Schizosaccharomyces pombe: one gene and its partners. The gene in region 1 interacts genetically with each later gene. Each region holds a gene or a part of one and is shown in the gene's direction. Other genes may lie near its edges. The genes, in order: sap18, spo20, omh6 and tbf1.

Evidence for each region.
Region 2: mutations in sap18 (region 1) and spo20 together harm fitness more than expected from each alone (negative genetic interaction), as found in Schizosaccharomyces pombe (one large-scale study listed by BioGRID).
Region 3: mutations in sap18 (region 1) and omh6 together harm fitness more than expected from each alone (negative genetic interaction), as found in Schizosaccharomyces pombe (one large-scale study listed by BioGRID).
Region 4: mutations in sap18 (region 1) and tbf1 together harm fitness less than expected from each alone (positive genetic interaction), as found in Schizosaccharomyces pombe (one large-scale study listed by BioGRID).

The regions. Positions count from the first base shown.
Region 1 is NC_003421.2:2,139,324-2,143,072, reverse strand, and holds sap18 (SAP128 family histone deacetylase complex subunit), read left to right. Parts: upstream 1-1,883; 5' UTR 1,884-1,898; coding exon 1,899-2,062; intron 2,063-2,229; coding exon 2,230-2,503; 3' UTR 2,504-3,190; downstream 3,191-3,749. Other genes in the region: putative signal recognition particle subunit Sec65, read left to right, coding at 18-394; U5 snRNP-associated protein Prp18, read right to left, coding at 807-881, 927-1,883.
Region 2 is NC_003424.3:607,216-611,219, forward strand, and holds spo20 (sec14 cytosolic factor family, phospholipid-intermembrane transfer protein Spo20/Sec14), read left to right. Parts: upstream 1-1,753; 5' UTR 1,754-1,776; coding exon 1,777-1,935; intron 1,936-1,983; coding exon 1,984-2,286; intron 2,287-2,313; exon of another isoform or gene 2,314-2,482; coding exon 2,483-2,605; exon of another isoform or gene 2,606-2,627; intron 2,628-2,668; coding exon 2,669-2,944; 3' UTR 2,945-3,488; downstream 3,489-4,004. Other genes in the region: exosome 3'-5' exoribonuclease subunit Rrp6, read left to right, coding at 3,671-3,937, 3,996-4,004. UniProt on the Schizosaccharomyces pombe protein: Required for transport of secretory proteins from the Golgi complex. Catalyzes the transfer of phosphatidylinositol and phosphatidylcholine between membranes in vitro. Essential for viability and secretion.
Region 3 is NC_003424.3:3,391,200-3,395,900, reverse strand, and holds omh6 (alpha-1,2-mannosyltransferase Omh6), read left to right. Parts: upstream 1-1,656; 5' UTR 1,657-1,951; coding exon 1,952-2,418; exon of another isoform or gene 2,419-2,489; coding exon 2,490-2,776; intron 2,777-2,794; exon of another isoform or gene 2,795-2,872; coding exon 2,873-3,015; 3' UTR 3,016-3,210; coding exon of another isoform or gene 3,211-3,992; 3' UTR 3,993-4,151; downstream 4,152-4,701. Other genes in the region: pdi4 (protein disulfide isomerase), read left to right, coding at 1-216; tRNA-splicing endonuclease subunit Sen15, read right to left, coding at 3,211-3,642; SPOM_SPAC959.11 (uncharacterized protein), read left to right, coding at 3,627-3,992; U3 snoRNP-associated protein Utp7, read left to right, coding at 4,511-4,701. UniProt on the Schizosaccharomyces pombe protein: Probable mannosyltransferase involved in O-glycosylation of cell wall and secreted proteins.
Region 4 is NC_003423.3:2,372,083-2,377,071, forward strand, and holds tbf1 (DNA-binding factor Trf1), read left to right. Parts: upstream 1-1,842; 5' UTR 1,843-2,091; coding exon 2,092-3,549; 3' UTR 3,550-3,657; coding exon of another isoform or gene 3,658-4,365; 3' UTR 4,366-4,405; downstream 4,406-4,989. Other genes in the region: SPOM_SPBC19G7.18C (uncharacterized protein), read right to left, coding at 1-529, 576-646, 695-842; COG complex subunit Cog5, read right to left, coding at 3,658-4,365, 4,406-4,478, 4,528-4,982. UniProt on the Schizosaccharomyces pombe protein: Binds the telomeric double-stranded TTACAGG repeat and regulates telomere length.

The DNA.
Region 1 (3,749 bases):
ACTGACTGTGAATGTAGAAAAGTATGTCATAAACGAAATCGCCAAAGTACTACTTCTTCGCCCAACTGTTAAGACAGATCCTTTATCGTTACCTATTCAAAATGTTCCCGCACGTCTTCCTGAAAATCCTCCTGCATATCCTAAGGGGGTTTTAGGAAATACGATTTTACCTCTTCATTCACCTGCTTTATCTGGCGGTGGTATCTCTGAAAATATGTTCCAGGAAATGATGCAGGAAATGCAAAAGCAACCTGGATTAGCTGGAGGTATGAATCCAATGGCTGCACTTGCTGGTATGGGAGGCCCTGCTCCTCCTATGCCAACTCCCCAAGCATCTTCAAGCCAGCGAAAACAAAAGTCAATTGAACCAGAATATGATTTGGATTTGGAGTAAACTTATTGTTTAAAACTGAAATATTAGGAATATAGGTGCTTTCGACTATTAGCAAACGCTCATGGATATTAGTAAATTTTTTTTCTCGTCATCTTTTAACAAAAAATTTTTTCCTAATAATGAGTATGGATGTAGAGTTTCATTAAAGATGAGTTCATTTGCACAGCACATTCTGCTTTTTTAAGACTGAGTTCTGGTGGCATACTTAATATTTTTCTGTCTTTTATAAATGTTTCGCCTCTCGTTATATCAGAAGCTGTTTCATTGTAGTTTCTTTCATGCCAATTCAGAGGCGAAATTTTTGAATATTCTATCATTAGTAAACCATGTTTGACATAGTCGTTTTCAAAAGTTTAGTGTGAACTGTATAATTAAATTCTTTTTCGACAACAAATAGCATCTTTTTCGTACTTCAATCCGTATATTCAGGTAAGTTTGATGACTCTCTTTCCTGAAAAGTAATAAATCGCTTTAAAGCTTGCAAACACTAACATGTGAAAGGTTAGACTGGGTACTTTATCTAAAATCTTACCTTTCTCTTCTTTTCGTCTTTAAGTATATTTGAACTTGGATTTGCTTGTAATCGTTGATGTGCACTTCTTTCATGAATACCAACCATAGTAACTCCAATAGGCCAAGGTGCATTTCCAATTGTCAGACGTAAATACATATCATTGGCTTTGACAAATTCGTGTTTTTGGCATCTGTAACAAATTTCAGCTATGCTTTTAAAAATATCGTCGTTTAAAGCTTCATCGACTATCAGTTGTATAAGTACATCAAGATCTTGCTTAGCTTGACGAAATATTTTTAATTGCATCTGACTCTCAGAACTTTCGAAAGAGTTGATGGATTTTGAAGACAAAAAGTTGTCCCAAATGCGGATTCCATGTTGAAGAAAAGCAACTACTTGCTTGGATACTTTGGGTTTGGTGGTAGTAGCATGCTCAAAGTCGATTGTTTCAACTCCTTTAGTAAGGAGTTCATTTTCAATTTCTTCCAGTTTTTTGTATTTTAGCAAACTGTAATATCGTTGAATGGTAGCCTCTTCTGACTCTCCAAACAAACGAATTGGCTCTTTCATCTCACGAAGCTTTGCAATAATTTCGGTCAACGTGAGGTTGTCTTTTGTGATTTCAGGTATTGATAAACGGTCGTTTTCGGAGACAGATAATTTTGTACTTGCAGGTGACGCTTTGACAGCTGGTGAGGGAGTTGTTGTTTCTGTAAGCAACTCTTCATTTCTACTGCTCTCTTTGTTCGCAAGTCGTGAAATGCGTAACTTCTTTTCTTCATATTTAAGACGTTCTTCTTCCAACTTTCTTTTTTTCAACTCTCTTTGCTCATCCTTTTGTTGTTTTTCCTGCAGATATTTCTTTTCCCTTTCCTTCTCCCAATCCCCTCGTCGAAACGCCTTTTTTACCGGAAGTTCGCTCGTTCCTTCTAGTTGGCGACGTTTACGTTCAATTTCTTCCTTTAAAAAATCCATTTGGGAGGTTTAGAAATGGATATTCGTGAAAGTCGCTCTCAATCTCCTGAATTAAGCCAAAGTGAAGATGCTGTTGGTCCGTGCCCTTTTCTCATTTCAGTATATCATCAGTTCCAAACAAAAAATCATGTTTTAGACATCTTTGAAGACGTGATTCCTTCTATTCAAGTTTATGGATGGTAAGTAAATCGTGTTAACGGGAAAATTTCAGTTGTTGTATATGAACTCATACTTCATTGGGACTACGATTAGAAAATCCGTCAAAGGATCATCCATGAACAATTTATATGTCAATTAGATTTATATGTTTCAAATCTTAAACTTTTATGCTAACGATTAATCTTAGGTTGACCATGACCCTTTATGAACTGGGAGTTCTCATTGCAGATCAACTTCTTTTGAATAACGAAGAAACAAGACATTCTGAATGGTCATTGCAAATTAGAACAATTTTTTACGATAAGTATAAAGATCGCCCGATAGCCAGGGATCTAGGTACTGTTTGTTTGCACAATCCAAAGCTATTTCAAGGCAACAAATTATTGAAAAGAACGGGAATAAAATGCGGAGACAAAATTGATGTTACCATAAAAGAGGATAAAATTAGAATAAAAAAGTGATTCCTTGATCGGATGGTACATATATATTTTTTGGAAGTTTAATGGGTTTGAGAACGATATAAAAAACGAAGTGCATGACTGAAGAATTCTATTGTAAGATTTATTTAAAAGCTTATCTTAATTCTATTTATATACAAAATCATAAACCGCTACAACCCTGTTCACTAATCTCATATTGTATGTTTATAAGCTTTGAAGCTTTGAAAAGATTCGAAGCTCTTTAAGTTGAGAAATTTTTTTTTCCCATACTCTTAAAAAAACCTTTGACGCATTAAGAAAAAATTGTTAGTGTACTTACTATTTTCCTTATTGAGTTATGGAGATATACTTTAGCTCGAGGCCTATCAAGGATTCAGGAATCACTTCTGCTAAATTTATATATATGCTGTAGGAAAAGAAAGCGTTTTTTTTATTATAATTCACATTGGAAAGGATTCAACACTTTAAATAGCAGAATCTTTTATCATTTTTTTTGAAGCGATGGATTAAGCGGTTAATGTTTTCCATTGTTTAATAGCGCTAACATTCGGAAATCCGATTGAAACTATTTTTCAAAAAAGAATTATAACTTCTATTATTAACATGGTTGATATTCGCATGATAAATGCACCATTGATCCTCATAATGTAAATATCTATTCCTTTAAAAATGCTGTCAACTCACCTTTGGCTACTTAACTATTTTCAAAATATAAAACTCGTATTTTTTTTTTGCCTAAATACAATTAAAAAACCATTCGCAACCCATACAAACAGAAAACGGATTGTAAACAGTTAAATTATAATTCAGGCAAGTAACAGACTTAAATATTTATAAAGTTTTATTACAGCCCGATGTTATCATTGCTAGAGTAAATGAACATGAATCAAGGTTACTCCGTTTGCAACAGCTGTAAGAAGCTGAATTGTTATTTTCTGAATCGGTGCTACAAGCTAACAGCCCAAAATCACTTATTATTTTTACAACAACTTTAAGCTGATATCTTCGTTTCATAACTAAATCCAAAGTATATTCCTTCAATTATTTAATTTCATTTAAATTTAATATGAGTATTACAATATGTATAACTAAAAAAAATAAGTTTTCAATAATCTCCTTTAGTATAGGGGTAGTACACAAGCCTGTCACGCTTGCAGCCCGGGTTCGAATCCCGGAGGGAGAGTAAATAATTGAAACTTTTTTATTTAGCTAAACAAAGCTTAGTTTTTGAAGCTTTGGCATCATTATGACCGATATTATATTAGTA
Region 2 (4,004 bases), on another chromosome or scaffold:
GAGTGGTACTAAAATTGCATCCTTTAAATAGATGAAAAATTAAGTTGCCACTCAAATGAATGGAACTTCGGGCTTTTCAAAACCACCGCCAGGGAAATGACATGAAAACAATTTTACTATCCCGAAATTTTCTTTTTTTCAGCTTCTGCACTGATAGCATAATCGTTTCCAAAACAAACTGTAAACTAAATTTTCATAAAAGCAGTAAATTTTCAAACTTGGAGATATCGGGGTAGGGTTACCGTTATTGCAGTTCAAATAACCATTGCTATTATTTAATATGTATAAAAAAACCATGTAGTAATAGACTCGTGTGCAAAGTACACTTCAGCTGGGTTTGAGGTGCAAGGTTGCCAATTAAGAAACGTAGTACTGATTCTTTTCACCTCTACCATACTTATTCAATGTTAAATGCTTATAACATTGATATCCACGGTTTTCATCCTATATTCAAACTATGCTTCCTGCCTTTAGTAACAAGCTTGCGTAATGCATTGTTTCCTGCATTTATTCGTTTGTTAAATTATAACGATATTTTGACGATTATACTATCCTTCCGTAACGTTAATATAATAATCAAAAATTTATATTGTTATAGGTCTTTAAAGGTAAAATCAATGTAAATAAATGTATTATTGCTAACATGTAGAAAATTTGATACTAACTTGAAAATTTTATGCAAGTACAAAATGGACTGTCCATTCAAGCAATGCCTTTCACTCTTGTATGTTTTGTTAAACTTTGCGTGGAAGAAACGCTTTCAAAATTATGGCTGAAGTTCGATCGAAAGAGAAGGAAACAATAATTACGTTTGCGAGACAAAACTAGTTTTTAAAAAAATTTTGTATATATATTTAAGTGGCTGTTAGTCTAATTATTATTTATTTTATTCATTCTTTAGATTTTATTTTATTTTATTTTTTATGTCGTATAGTATTACTTTATTTACGTTTCAATATGTATTTTTTGTTAAATTGCTTATTCACGAAATATTTTTCCATTTGCAATAAAATTTCTTTTCCTTTACTATATTTGCTTATTTAAAGTTCTTTTTTAATCACAACTCTATGACAATTTTCTACTCCTCATTTATAATACGAAAACTGAACAATCATAAAATTGAACTGTTTTACTTCACATAAATATCCAGCTACGATACTCCTATACCGTTTTTACATAGACAACAATCTCAAAATCGCAATATGATCATCCATTTACATATTCTATACTCTATGTACTATAACGCTTCTTAGTGCCTGGTTTACTCTTTCAAAGCTGTCAGGTGCATAAATATTGATGACAGAAAATCACCACAAGCGCACTCAAAGGCTTAAATAAAATAAACATTATCTATCGTTCGTTTTTTTTGGTAAAGAAAAAATGCTTCCACAAAGTTAAATTGTCACTTTTTCCCCATGTTTTATTTACCTTCAACGCCTCGTTGAAGGCCATTCTGCATCTCAAATTTGTCGCACTTTTCATGCAAGTTGAAAAATTGGTTATACACAATTTAAACCTCATACGAGGAGCTTCTTCCTCTCATCTGATTTTTAACACTGAAGTTTATCCTCATACTCACATATAACAATAGCGTTGGGTGTAGCATGGCAACAAAGGTTCCTGCGGTAGTAGGTAAAAGGCCCCCACGCTTGACTGATCCCCCACGGCTGATGACCACTAGTATTAAGGTCGCTGACGTTCTTCCTTTTCCTTTATACATCTTGTACAGACTGGGTCATTAGGTCTTCTCTCTACAACCATCGTCTAAACAAAAAGATGTCAGAAACTATATCGGATCCTTATCCTCTAACTAATCCAAATGCTCCATTAGGGCACCCAGGGCATTTGAATTCTACACAGCAAGCTACGCTAGATAGCATGCGTTTAGAGTTACAAAAACTTGGATACACGGAAAGATTAGACGATGCCACTTTAGTAAGTTGTACAGCAGGAAACTTTGTGTTTGTACTAATGGATTCTTAGTTGCGTTTTTTGAGAGCCCGTAAATTTAATTTGCAACAGTCGCTGGAAATGTTTATTAAATGCGAAAAGTGGAGAAAAGAATTTGGTGTTGATGATCTTATCAAAAACTTTCATTATGATGAGAAAGAAGCCGTTTCCAAATATTACCCTCAATTTTATCATAAAACTGACATCGACGGCCGTCCGGTATACGTTGAGCAACTCGGTAACATTGATTTGAAGAAGTTGTACCAAATCACGACTCCCGAGCGTATGATGCAAAATTTGGTTTATGAATATGAAATGCTTGCTTTAAAACGGTTTGTAAGTAAATTCAAATGATTAAATGTATCTCCAGTAATTCTCATAATCAAACCTTTCCTTTGGATTTGCATATTCCATATAAGGCTGGTTTTTCGGCTTTTTAATAGAAAAACTTTTGGTTTTCTACTGTGTTGAATTTTTTGTGATATATTTTTTCATTTTGATATTTCTTTTCATCTTTATTAACCGTCTTCAGCCCGCTTGTTCTCGTAAAGCAGGAGGCTTGATTGAAACTTCGTGCACAATCATGGATCTAAAGGGTGTTGGTATTACTAGTATTCACTCGGTTTACAGCTACATTCGTCAAGCATCAAGCATTGTAAGTTGAAAATGTTGAAATTTTTGTTCTTTTTTTTTTTTTTCAAGTATTAACACGTTAAAGAGTCAAGATTATTACCCCGAAAGGATGGGCAAGTTTTATGTAATTAACGCTCCTTGGGGATTCTCTTCTGCCTTTAATCTTATCAAAGGTTTTTTGGATGAGGCAACTGTCAAAAAAATTCATATTTTAGGCTCAAACTATAAGAGTGCTCTGCTCGAACAAATCCCTGCTGATAATCTTCCTGCTAAACTCGGTGGAAACTGCCAATGTCCAGGTGGCTGCGAACTATCTGACGCCGGTCCATGGCATGAAGAACAGTGGATGAACAAAAATTAGACTTCTTTCTCCGAACGGGATTTAATTGCTAGAATAGATGAATGTGGTTTGTCCTTTGATAAGAGTAATAGTGTGTAGAGTTTTTGCCGATCTTTCAACTTTGTTCTGCGTTTTAGTTCTTAAAGGTCTTCGTTCTATTTTTACTCAGCATCTCAGGTACTTCCTTCTACTTACGGTTTACTATTCGACGAAATTATCGTATATAGATCGAAGCATATATAAATATTTTATTTCGAAAGTCATGTGTTGATCCATCATCAACATCATGGGATGGTTGCTGTTACAATTCTTAATCCTTATAGAAGGTCTCAATACATATATCGTTCATTAATTTTCCAAAAAAGGACGCTCGATGATCCAACTGATTTGATTGTTTCATCCATTCTAGATTATCCGAAGTTTTTAAATTTGTAATTCATCTACTTTGATTATTTTTTTACTTTTTGATCAAAATTGAATGCCTATATTATAAAAGACCTCTCTATAGTTGCCTGCTAATAGTTTCACAATTTTGAACTAATCATAAATAATTGCTTTTACATAATTCTGCTAAGATTTTGCATTTGTGTAAAATATTTTATATATATAAAAATAGCTCTTGTATTTCGTACTTTAACGATGTCTATATTCAAGTTCGGTAATTCGTTGAGCGTGTGGTAAAAGTGCTTGAAAATTCCTGAACCAAACCAAAAACCTTACTGATCCAGTAGGGTAAACAATAGCATAATGGATGAGTCAGAATTGTTTAAGGGTTTAATGAATAGTACAGCCTATTGCTCTGAATTGGCAAAGGTTGATATACCGTTTTATAAATCAATTGATACCGAATTCAATGAAAACATAAAAAGTGTTTCTTCTCGTTTTATGAGATTAATTGAATTGCTTCTTTCTAAAGTAGACAGAAGTCGGGCGGAGGATATTGTGGACGTTGAAGATATAGATAATAGATGGGCAGAAGTATCGGACACATTAGACATACTCTTTGAAAAAGCTGTAAGTGAATTTTTGAAATTGTAAACGGATTTTATTTAACTAAGACGTATGAATATAGGACTATTCT
Region 3 (4,701 bases), on another chromosome or scaffold:
CAAAAACTGCGTGCACCGGGCCTATGTCCAAACGGTAGCCCCAATTACAGGAATAGATACAAACTTATAGTTTTTAATTTGCTCATTGCTTTACTAATATTGAGCATCCTGACAATTATTTCAGCTAGCAGGCTTTCCCGTCGGCGTCGACAACTGCTGAACAAGCAACCAGTTTTTGGTTTTTATCATTCGCTTGTAATTGCCAAATCAGACTGAAATGTTGACAATTCAACGACCTAGTAAACGATGAAAAGGAGCGAAAGGTTTTTTTTATATACTCTCTTAGGGTAGCATTTCTAAATCATTTATTGCTAATACACTTGTGATGTTGCTACAAACAGCCCACAAAACTGATTGTTAAAAACTTTGTAGTCCATTTAATTTGACAAGGACTTATACACGAAAACAAAGTACCTCAAAATATGACGAGAATATTATCATTAAAAATTCAGTTTAAGTATACAAAATACCATACTGGCAACCTACCTCAAACGGTCAAGCTGTACAAACGAAAACTACATCGACAGGTCAGCCTGTTTCTCATCAAAACATCACAACGCCCATTTTTATTTGTTCATTAACAGCGAATTGGAAGTTTAAAAAATTCAGTTTTAAATGACAAAGTAAAATTGTAATAAAATAATTAATCGTATTCATACACATGATTAAACTATCATAAAAGAAGAACTACCCAAATGAAAAATGTCAACTGTATGGTTTTACCCAACTGCAAGGATCCAGAGATCATGTAGCGAAAGATTTAGGAATATACAGTTGTCAGAGGATCAACCAATTCCTCTCCAAAGGAGAAGGATCAGGATCACTCCAATCGTTTTAGAATCTGTTGGCTAGGCTACGCAGCATCCTTTAGTCAATTTTCATGGCAAGACGCCAACTCTCAACCTGCAGTCGAAACTGCAAGGACAATCGCCGCCCTGTCTGTACTCTTGTCAACCTCTACACGCCAACCATGTTACACGCAAGATTCTCGAAAGAATCTGAACAATGTAACTTCAGATTCATGATAGGTTATAACGAAGTGCAAACGAGACTTTATATAGTTTGTTGAAAATTACAACCCTAACCCTAGTGACTGTTTTACCCTTAGTAGTCTAGGAATTTTGGTGTTTCCAGAAAGCAAAAAAAAAGGCTCGTTAAAATAAGATTGTGCATTATGAACAACCACAGTATATAATTTGATCGAAAGTAGTGAATTAGTTTGCAGATATTGGGAAAATGTCTTAAGATACATATGCCACTTGGGTTTATGAAATATTATTTTATAACATTTTACTGAGTTTGTATTCTAGAACAGCTGAAGCTTTCCTATACTTAAACTTATTGCTTTTGTTTACATTCATCAGCAACAATGAATTGTTTAATAGACATTAAAAACCATTATAAAAGACGAATGCAAATTTTATAATTCCTTTGATAGAACTTAAATATTCCAACAGTAATAACAGCTCGACATAGCGACTATCAGTACGCTTATGCAAATGTCATTTATAAGATTATGCTCGTTAGCAGATTCTTTCAGTGATCTACCCATCAAACATTGTATACAAAAATTGATTTGCTAAAAATAAATATTTATACTCAAAGAGCTCTCTTTTCTAAGGTCAAATCTCTAGCAGGGTATTAACATTTGCCCTTAACCATTGTCTTAGGCAATTTCAGTTAAATTCCTTCAAATCCACTTTCTATGCGTTACTTTTGGAGTCATACGTTAGTTGAACTAGTTACTTCTCATAACAGGGAAAGTTCTGCTCGTGTTTAAGCTTCATTATGTTTTACGAACTTTTACTTTCCATACTACCAATTGTATTTACCTGGTTGAATGGATTCTCTGTAAATGAACCCAACAATGTATATGTGATTCTTAATGAACCTCAAAGCTCCAATTTGAGTGCTTCTTTTCTGATGTTTACCGCGTACGGTGCCATTTGAGATGTACTTTCTAATTCTGTTTTCTAGTAATGCTGAACTTGGGGAAGTGTTGCGCACGATGCGTAGCGTAGAGGATAGATTTAATAAGAGGTTTCATTATCCTTGGACGTTTTACGGCATGGATGAGTTTACGGAATACTTTATGAGTACGACAAGCACGATTGCGTCTGGTCATTGTGAATACGGTACGAAGGGAATAACTTATACCAATCATTTACAATTTATTCTAACTATCTCTTACTTAGTGCATTGGGATCTTTCTCAAGTAAAACCCCTAGTTGAAAACAATCGACTTTATCAACAACGAGCAGATGCACTTGCTCAAGAGAATCTATCTTACGTATACTCTCCTTTGTTTCACAGTTTTCAAGATTGGGTAGTTCGATCTTTATTATATCATCCTCAATTGGAATACGATTATGTTTGGAGAATAGAACCCGGGCTCAAATTGGTTTGTGAAGAAAAAAAGTAAGAAACTCGGTAAAACTTGTTTATTTCGTTCTTCTTTTTCAGGAAACCTAACTAATATTTTTGTTCAGAGATATATTTTCTACTTTCAAAGACAGCGACATTGTATTTACAAACCACGTCTGTGAACGTAAACACTCTGGTATATATGCTATGGAAGAGGCAATTGAAGAATACAAAATTTTAAACACTCAAGGAGATTTCAGCAATATCTGGGTTTATAGTAACAACTACACCTATTGTAAATACTGGCCTTTTAATGAAATTTTATCTCTAAAGCAAATTCGGCATAATCAGACCTACACCAACCTAATTAATTACTTGCTTGGTTCAGGAGGAACATATTATCATCGCTGGAGTAAGTAAATTGCTTCTTCAATTTTGGAAATGACTTTATTTAACCTGTTTCTAATATAAATGCTTCACGTTGTACTTTTTGCTGACATTTATTTAGCCGAGTCTGATATCCTTTCAGCAGCATTTGGTGTTTTAAGAGCGCGTGCTAATCATATGGAATCAGTGGGATTTTTCTTAAACGATGATGTTCATTATTGCCCAGAAACTATTCCATACACAGGAAGATGTGCATGTTTGTGATATTAATTGATGAATGAGCTTTACAGAAAATTTTTGTTCATACGAATTTGTTTTATGAAAGTTATTGTAATATGTGCATTTTCATTTACAAACGTTGAGACACTTGAAGTGAAAAATTAATCTGGTAGTGGTAAAATTATAGCGTTGTCTTTCCGTTTTTCAATCCTAATCAATAAATATGTATATATCATGTGTTTATTCTTCATCATTTTGCCTTGGTTTTATAAGTCCATCGGTGATCTTGTAATATACTATCGTTGAGTCAGAACACATGATTCCCAGGTATAGGAAAAACTCATCTCCAGAAAGACCTCGAGCATCCTTTACAAGTGGAAGGCTCAGTTTCTTCATAGAATCGAAAACAGAGGACAGAAACTCGATCGAAATTGTCTCTTGGAGGTAAAGCGGCAGAACATATTGCAATTTGTCTTTGAGCTGTCCATTTACGGGAATCCCTGAGAGTAAAGGCCTTTTTGTTTTTAAGTCAATATCAAGAACATGTACCTTTAATTCACACCAACGTTGACCGAGCCTTAAGTCGGTTTCCACTGCTCTCAGTATTCCATAGTATGGATTTTGCTTTTGCTCTTCTACAGCATCGTTAGGGAGAAATGTATTATGTTGCATGTGTATTTGTTTATAATAAATATATCTTTACTTTTGAGAAGGAAAATTTTGTTGAAAAAATGAATTATCGCCTCCGTGATAAAACTTTTAACTTCAACCAAATGGCACAGAAAAGGAACAAGCAGTCAAAAAAGCCTAAACAGACTTCAAAAGGAGTTAAGAAATCCTCAAAACAAAACAAAAACTCCTCTAAAAACAACAAATACCAACAAAACGTCCTTTTACAGAGTATTGATGATTACAACACTACGCAGAGCGTACTAAGAAGTGCTCATAATAGCGGTTCGAAGATGAGCGATATATCCAATTCGATCCAGCTTCTTTCCATGACCAAAAAGCAGGAGAATTAATTCCTGAGCTATTTTCGTTTCATGGTTCATTTCGCAGTTTTGGCATTGGCCATTGTCTGAACTTATAATGTTTTTACTGGGTTTCGGGTTTACTTTTAAAATTTTCTTGTTTTTATTTTGCATACTTAATTTTTATGAAATTTTATTTTATTATACTTGTATTATTTGTAAATAATTGTGGTTTGTATCTAATTGTGTTAGTAGTAGTTTCTGATTTTTTACAATAAGAACGCACAAATCCTATTCCTAGAACTACATTCCACCTGCCCTCAACCTAAACCTACTGTTGGGTCATAGAATCGAAGTCGAACGTAGTGTTTGAATTTTTTAACTATCACTTCGTTTACATAATACATTTGTGTAAAAATTGAAGGGTTTCTAACTTTTTGACTAAGGGAGATACCTAAATTTTGGAAAGAATTGTTTATTAGAAAACTGCTTCATTTTTTTTGTATAATCAGGCCTAAAAAGAAAAAAAAATCTTTTTTCCTCACTAATATCTTTACTTAGTTAGCATTATGTCTGCTCAAAAGTTGAATTTGGAGGATGTTAATGCTTCTACAAAAAAATATTCTAGAGGGCGCAAGCTGAATCCAAAGAAAATCAAGGATAAAAAGCTTCGAAGCAATATTCAGAAAATCGAGGAGAGAATTGAGAATGTTGAGTCTTCCTTGGCGAAAACCGAAATCTTACATGAAGATAATCCCGG
Region 4 (4,989 bases), on another chromosome or scaffold:
ACGATGAATCATTCCAGATCAATTGATCAAATGCCTCCTGTTCGTGAGAAATAGGTTCATCCAACTGTTCAGAGCCTAGATTAGAAGTTCGGGAAGGAAATGCTTCAGAATTTTCTTGTCCACTAAAAGCACTATCTGTGGATTTAACACTCGAGTCTTCTTCGTAAAATGGAAAAGAATTGTTACCGGTATTTCGATTACGGTTACGAATAGCTTCCCATGCTGACGCTGGCTTTGATCGATCTTCAAAGCCATTGTCTTTAGAGTACATGGCGTCCTCTTTCTCCGTACTCTGTGAATTCGTAAAGGGATCTTGACTAGAAGAGGCACCAGTATTCGGCATACTTCCAGGTAATTGATATTTTGAGTTTTTTGGAGGGAATTCAGAAGATGAAGAAGGAAATCTGCCTTGTCGCATCGTTGTTCTTTGTCGAATAAGGGAGTCTTGTATTTTGCGAAGTATTTCAAAGCCATCATCTCTTTGACGTATAGCCGACAAATTGTATGCCAGAGTAGTAATCTGAGCAACCTATTCATAATTTGTAAGCTTGAGCTTAGTATTACTTAAAACTTACCCCATTTCCAGCAAGACCTCCTATAATTGATGTTGCATACAAGCGGATTGGAGTAACCTTTTTGTTACGAGCTAAAAAATAAGAAAGTTATTTTCAATTGCTTGTTCGAAATCTCATACCTAAGTATAATGGGAGAGAAAACCCGACTAGCATCCCAAAAATCGTATTTCTTTTGACACGGTATTTTGCATGATTTAGAAATTCCTTTTGGTCATCACTGAAATGGTTTTGAGGATCATTTAACATTCGTTCCCAAAAAAAATCCATGATAATAAACGTTGGAAGCGATTCCTGAGGCTACACAATAATGTCAAGAATATGAAACGTGCTTATACGGGTTATGTTAGCGAAATAAATGTAATTAAATTATTTGCGGACTGTACAATTTAACCCAATATATAAAAATTTGAGGCCTTTCTAATGTAAAAATACTACTACTAAAAGGTAATAGTACTCATCACTTGTTGCCTTATGGATAGTTTGGATACTGATGTAAGAGGATGTGAATAAGGAGAATCTCTAGGGATTAGGACCATCTAAATTTCCCAGCTACTACAGTGATACTTGGCATGAATAAGAAATACGTATCTGAATAAAAATTTGACACACAAGATTGTTCTGTTGAAATTTCTTATGAAACTGATAGACTGAATTTTTTTTGGCTGGTAAGCACTTGTGATGAAATATGCAACTTTTTCGAACTACGTTTTACATTCCATCTTTCAATGAAACAGACCTTGGTGGCATCAATTCGTGGTATACGATTGTTTTGAATTTTAATATTGCAAGCATATATGTTCAACAGGAATTTCCCAGTTGTTAAATAAGTCTATATCGTATAATTCTTTGTCATTAACCGTATTTATTCATTTTGAACTAATTTAGCACAGAATTCTATCTCGTAAATTAAACAAGCGCCACTGCATTTTACACAGCTAACGAAAAATACAAGAAGGCAATTGAGAAATAGAGAAATAGATGCAATACAGACTTGGTCTTTTTTTTTAAAAAGTTTTGCCAATTTAGACGGATTTTGTATCTAATATGTAGGAACTACTAGTAGTAGTTACAGCTTATTCATTAGTTAATAATGTCCAGATATCGCTTCTACAAAGGAATGAAATGTTGATAAAATTAGTAAAGAAATACAACGATATAATGGTATTTAACACATCTGGCTTATTGGAATTCGTTAATAAAAATAACGAACGCCAATGAAGTGAAATATGCAAGAGATTTTTTATTACGAGTCAATTAAATATACGCTGTCCTAATCAATTGACACACAAATACCTGAAAACTCGCATTTGGTTGTTACTTTGCCTGCATTGGAAGGATATATTTTAAAAAACCTTGTAGTAAAGAAGAATTGGAACTTTTGATGCAAGATTTACTATTCGGTAGTCACTGGATATCGTTGCTCCTTGGATTTGTTTAGCAATCGATTAATCAGACTGCTTCTCACCTATAGTTTGTATTTTCTTTGATCAATTGAAAAACTACGATTTCCAAGAAAATGTCAAAACGATCCTTAGACCCTAGTGATGATTTTAAGGGTCAAAAACGCTTAGCGATTGATCCAGAATCAACTGCCCTCGAACAAGATCGCCAAATGTTACAACAATTATCAGAACAAAATTCTGAACTCGAGCCTCAAAATGTTGCACCAAATGCAGAAATTCCTTTAGGGTTTGATCTTTCCGGAATTCAATTTAATATGACGCCGGACTTTTATTTACGCATGAATCAAGGCATGGATTACGCTTTCAACCAACCTAATCCTATTGCTACACCTCAGCAACTTCTTCGTACATCTCTTATTCCTACTCTTGGTAACCTTAGTAACATAATTTTGTCAATTCTTGGGAAGCCAGTACAAGAGGCATCTGCCATTGTCACTAATCCAGCCTCCGAAATGGGTATGGCCTTTACCAAAGTAATGAATATGTTTCGTATGGTAAAGGACATTTATACTGAAGAATCTTTTATTTATTCCTCTGCCATTGGTATGAGGACGCCGAGTCAAAGAAGTACGACTAGACGCGCAAATCTTGCTATCTTTCTGGCAGCTGTCTATGGAGCGCTACAAATTGGATTTTTTCATTTGAATGAAAATTTTCTGGAGGTTTTTGCTCCGGACGAATCTAATATCCTCACTAATCAGGGCACTCTTTATATGGAACTCAAAACCCAAGCATATATTTCGGCTATGGCTCAGGCAGAACGTCCCAAGGGAGACATATTAAACGATCTTTTTCCCTCTGACATGGCCCATCGATTTCTTATCCGACGAAATGCTAAGCTGGATGACAAACTTACTTATGTTGAAAAGCAAATCATAGAGAAATGTACGGCTAGAAAAGAAAGATTGGCAAACTTCTCCCCACAGGAAGCTTTAAATGAAGTATATCCATGGGGGAAATTTTTAAGCGAGATTGCTTGTTACATCCATAACAATTACTCGTCTATTTCGGCCATTCCAATTCCTGCTAACTCATTCAAACGACGATCCAAGAAGAACGGATTGAGGTTTAAGGCTGGCGAAGCCGAATCATCCCCTTCAGAATCTGGTTCAGACCTGACCGATAGTCTCGCATTTGGTATACCATCTTCAACTTTTGACGGCTCCTCGGAAACACAAAATGTATCCAGTGTCGTTCTTTATGATCAGGTTCGACATATGACAAATAATAACCTAAATAACAAGCGTACGAGGCGCGTAGCCAATCGTCGATCTTGGACAAAAGAGGAAGAGGAAGCATTGCTTGATGGTCTTGATTTAGTAAAAGGTCCCCGGTGGAGCCAAATTTTGGAGCTTTATGGTCCTGGAGGCAAAAAGAGTGAAGTTTTGAAATATCGCAATCAAGTTCAGTTGAAAGATAAGGCTCGCAATATGAAACTATTTTTTCTCAAAAGTGGTCAGGTGGTCCCCGCAGCATTACAATGTGTTACAGGCGATCTTCGGCGAGATTAAGTAGTATCAGGAGTTTATTTCATTCTTGATTAAGTTTGCGATTTTTTTTTAAATACTAAAACGATTAAGCGTGAGGCATTTTATGTATAAATTATAATTATTATTAATCTATGGGTTTTTTGGTGCTAATACTCGGAGGCTATTCATTACAATTGAACATTCCCGTGTATCTTTATTTACAATTTCGGAGGATGACCTGGCAATAGCTTGTTCCACAATATGCGTAACTCGCTGAAAATCGCTTCGGAATACCCGCAAGAGTATTGGATCACGGCGATCAAGCATTTGCATTTTGCTGCTGATAGAAATTGCCAGCTCTTTGAAAAAATAGATACAAATAGTTGCACCATCAAGGATAAAATTTGGTTGCATTTGAAAATATTCTAATAAATTTGGGTAGTCTGGATTACAAATATTAGCCTTTTGAAGTGACCTTTCCCAAAAGACGCATTGTGCACCAATCTTTGAAATTTGGTACCACCCGTCTTCAAATTTGGACCATATAGTAGAATTTGCCGCTGAAGGATCTGTACTGTTATGTAGGAGTCTTCGTGTAGTGGGGGACAGTTGGAAAATCGAGTCGAATTGTATAATGGCCTTCTGTATACGAGAACTTAAAAGACGAGTTAAGTCCTGTTCTAACAAATATTTGTCTAACATATATAAAACAGAGCAAGCATTTGTAAAACCATTAGAGTTCACACTGAAAGAAAGTTGATCTTCTTGTGATAATAGATAGCTGGATGTTTCTTTTATAATTCTCGATCGATTGGTTATATTAAGTTTTAAGAGTAAAGAAACGGACGATTGTCTTTTCTACAATAATTAGCCAAGAAACAGAAAATATATTTCATACCATTAATGGAAACCGGCTTAATAATTGATCAGACTCTTGTAATAGTAAAGATGCTTGATAATAGCGTGAAAGTCTTGAATTTGTTAGCATACCAAAATCATTGAGCAAAACAATAAGCATACTTTTCATTTTCATTAATCGATCCCTGGAAAAGGGGAAATAACTTTGCTTGTATGCCAAAAAACTCCCCAAGCCAATACAAAGTCATGTATGTTGAATGCAAATTTACAATTGCCTCATGAAGGGGACCCAAATTTTCAGATGGAATGACTACCAGCGAACGAATTCTTTCATAAACCAACATCAATTGTTCTAGTTTTCCCTCGATATCTTGCAAATATGACTGAGCATTCAAAGAACTAGATACATTTTTCGTCAACGTGGTTTCCTCATGCACAATCAAATCGGTAATTTGCCGCTCTACTTCTTTGAGTGCATACCCCAACCTCTTTCTGGCGACTTCTTTGTCTTCGTTAACATCGGAGTCAGCATGAACAGAGATTAACACTCGTTCAGCCTGCGCCTTTGGATCGAAATCTGATTTTTTGTAATCTGAAAAATCATATCGAAACTCCATAACAGGA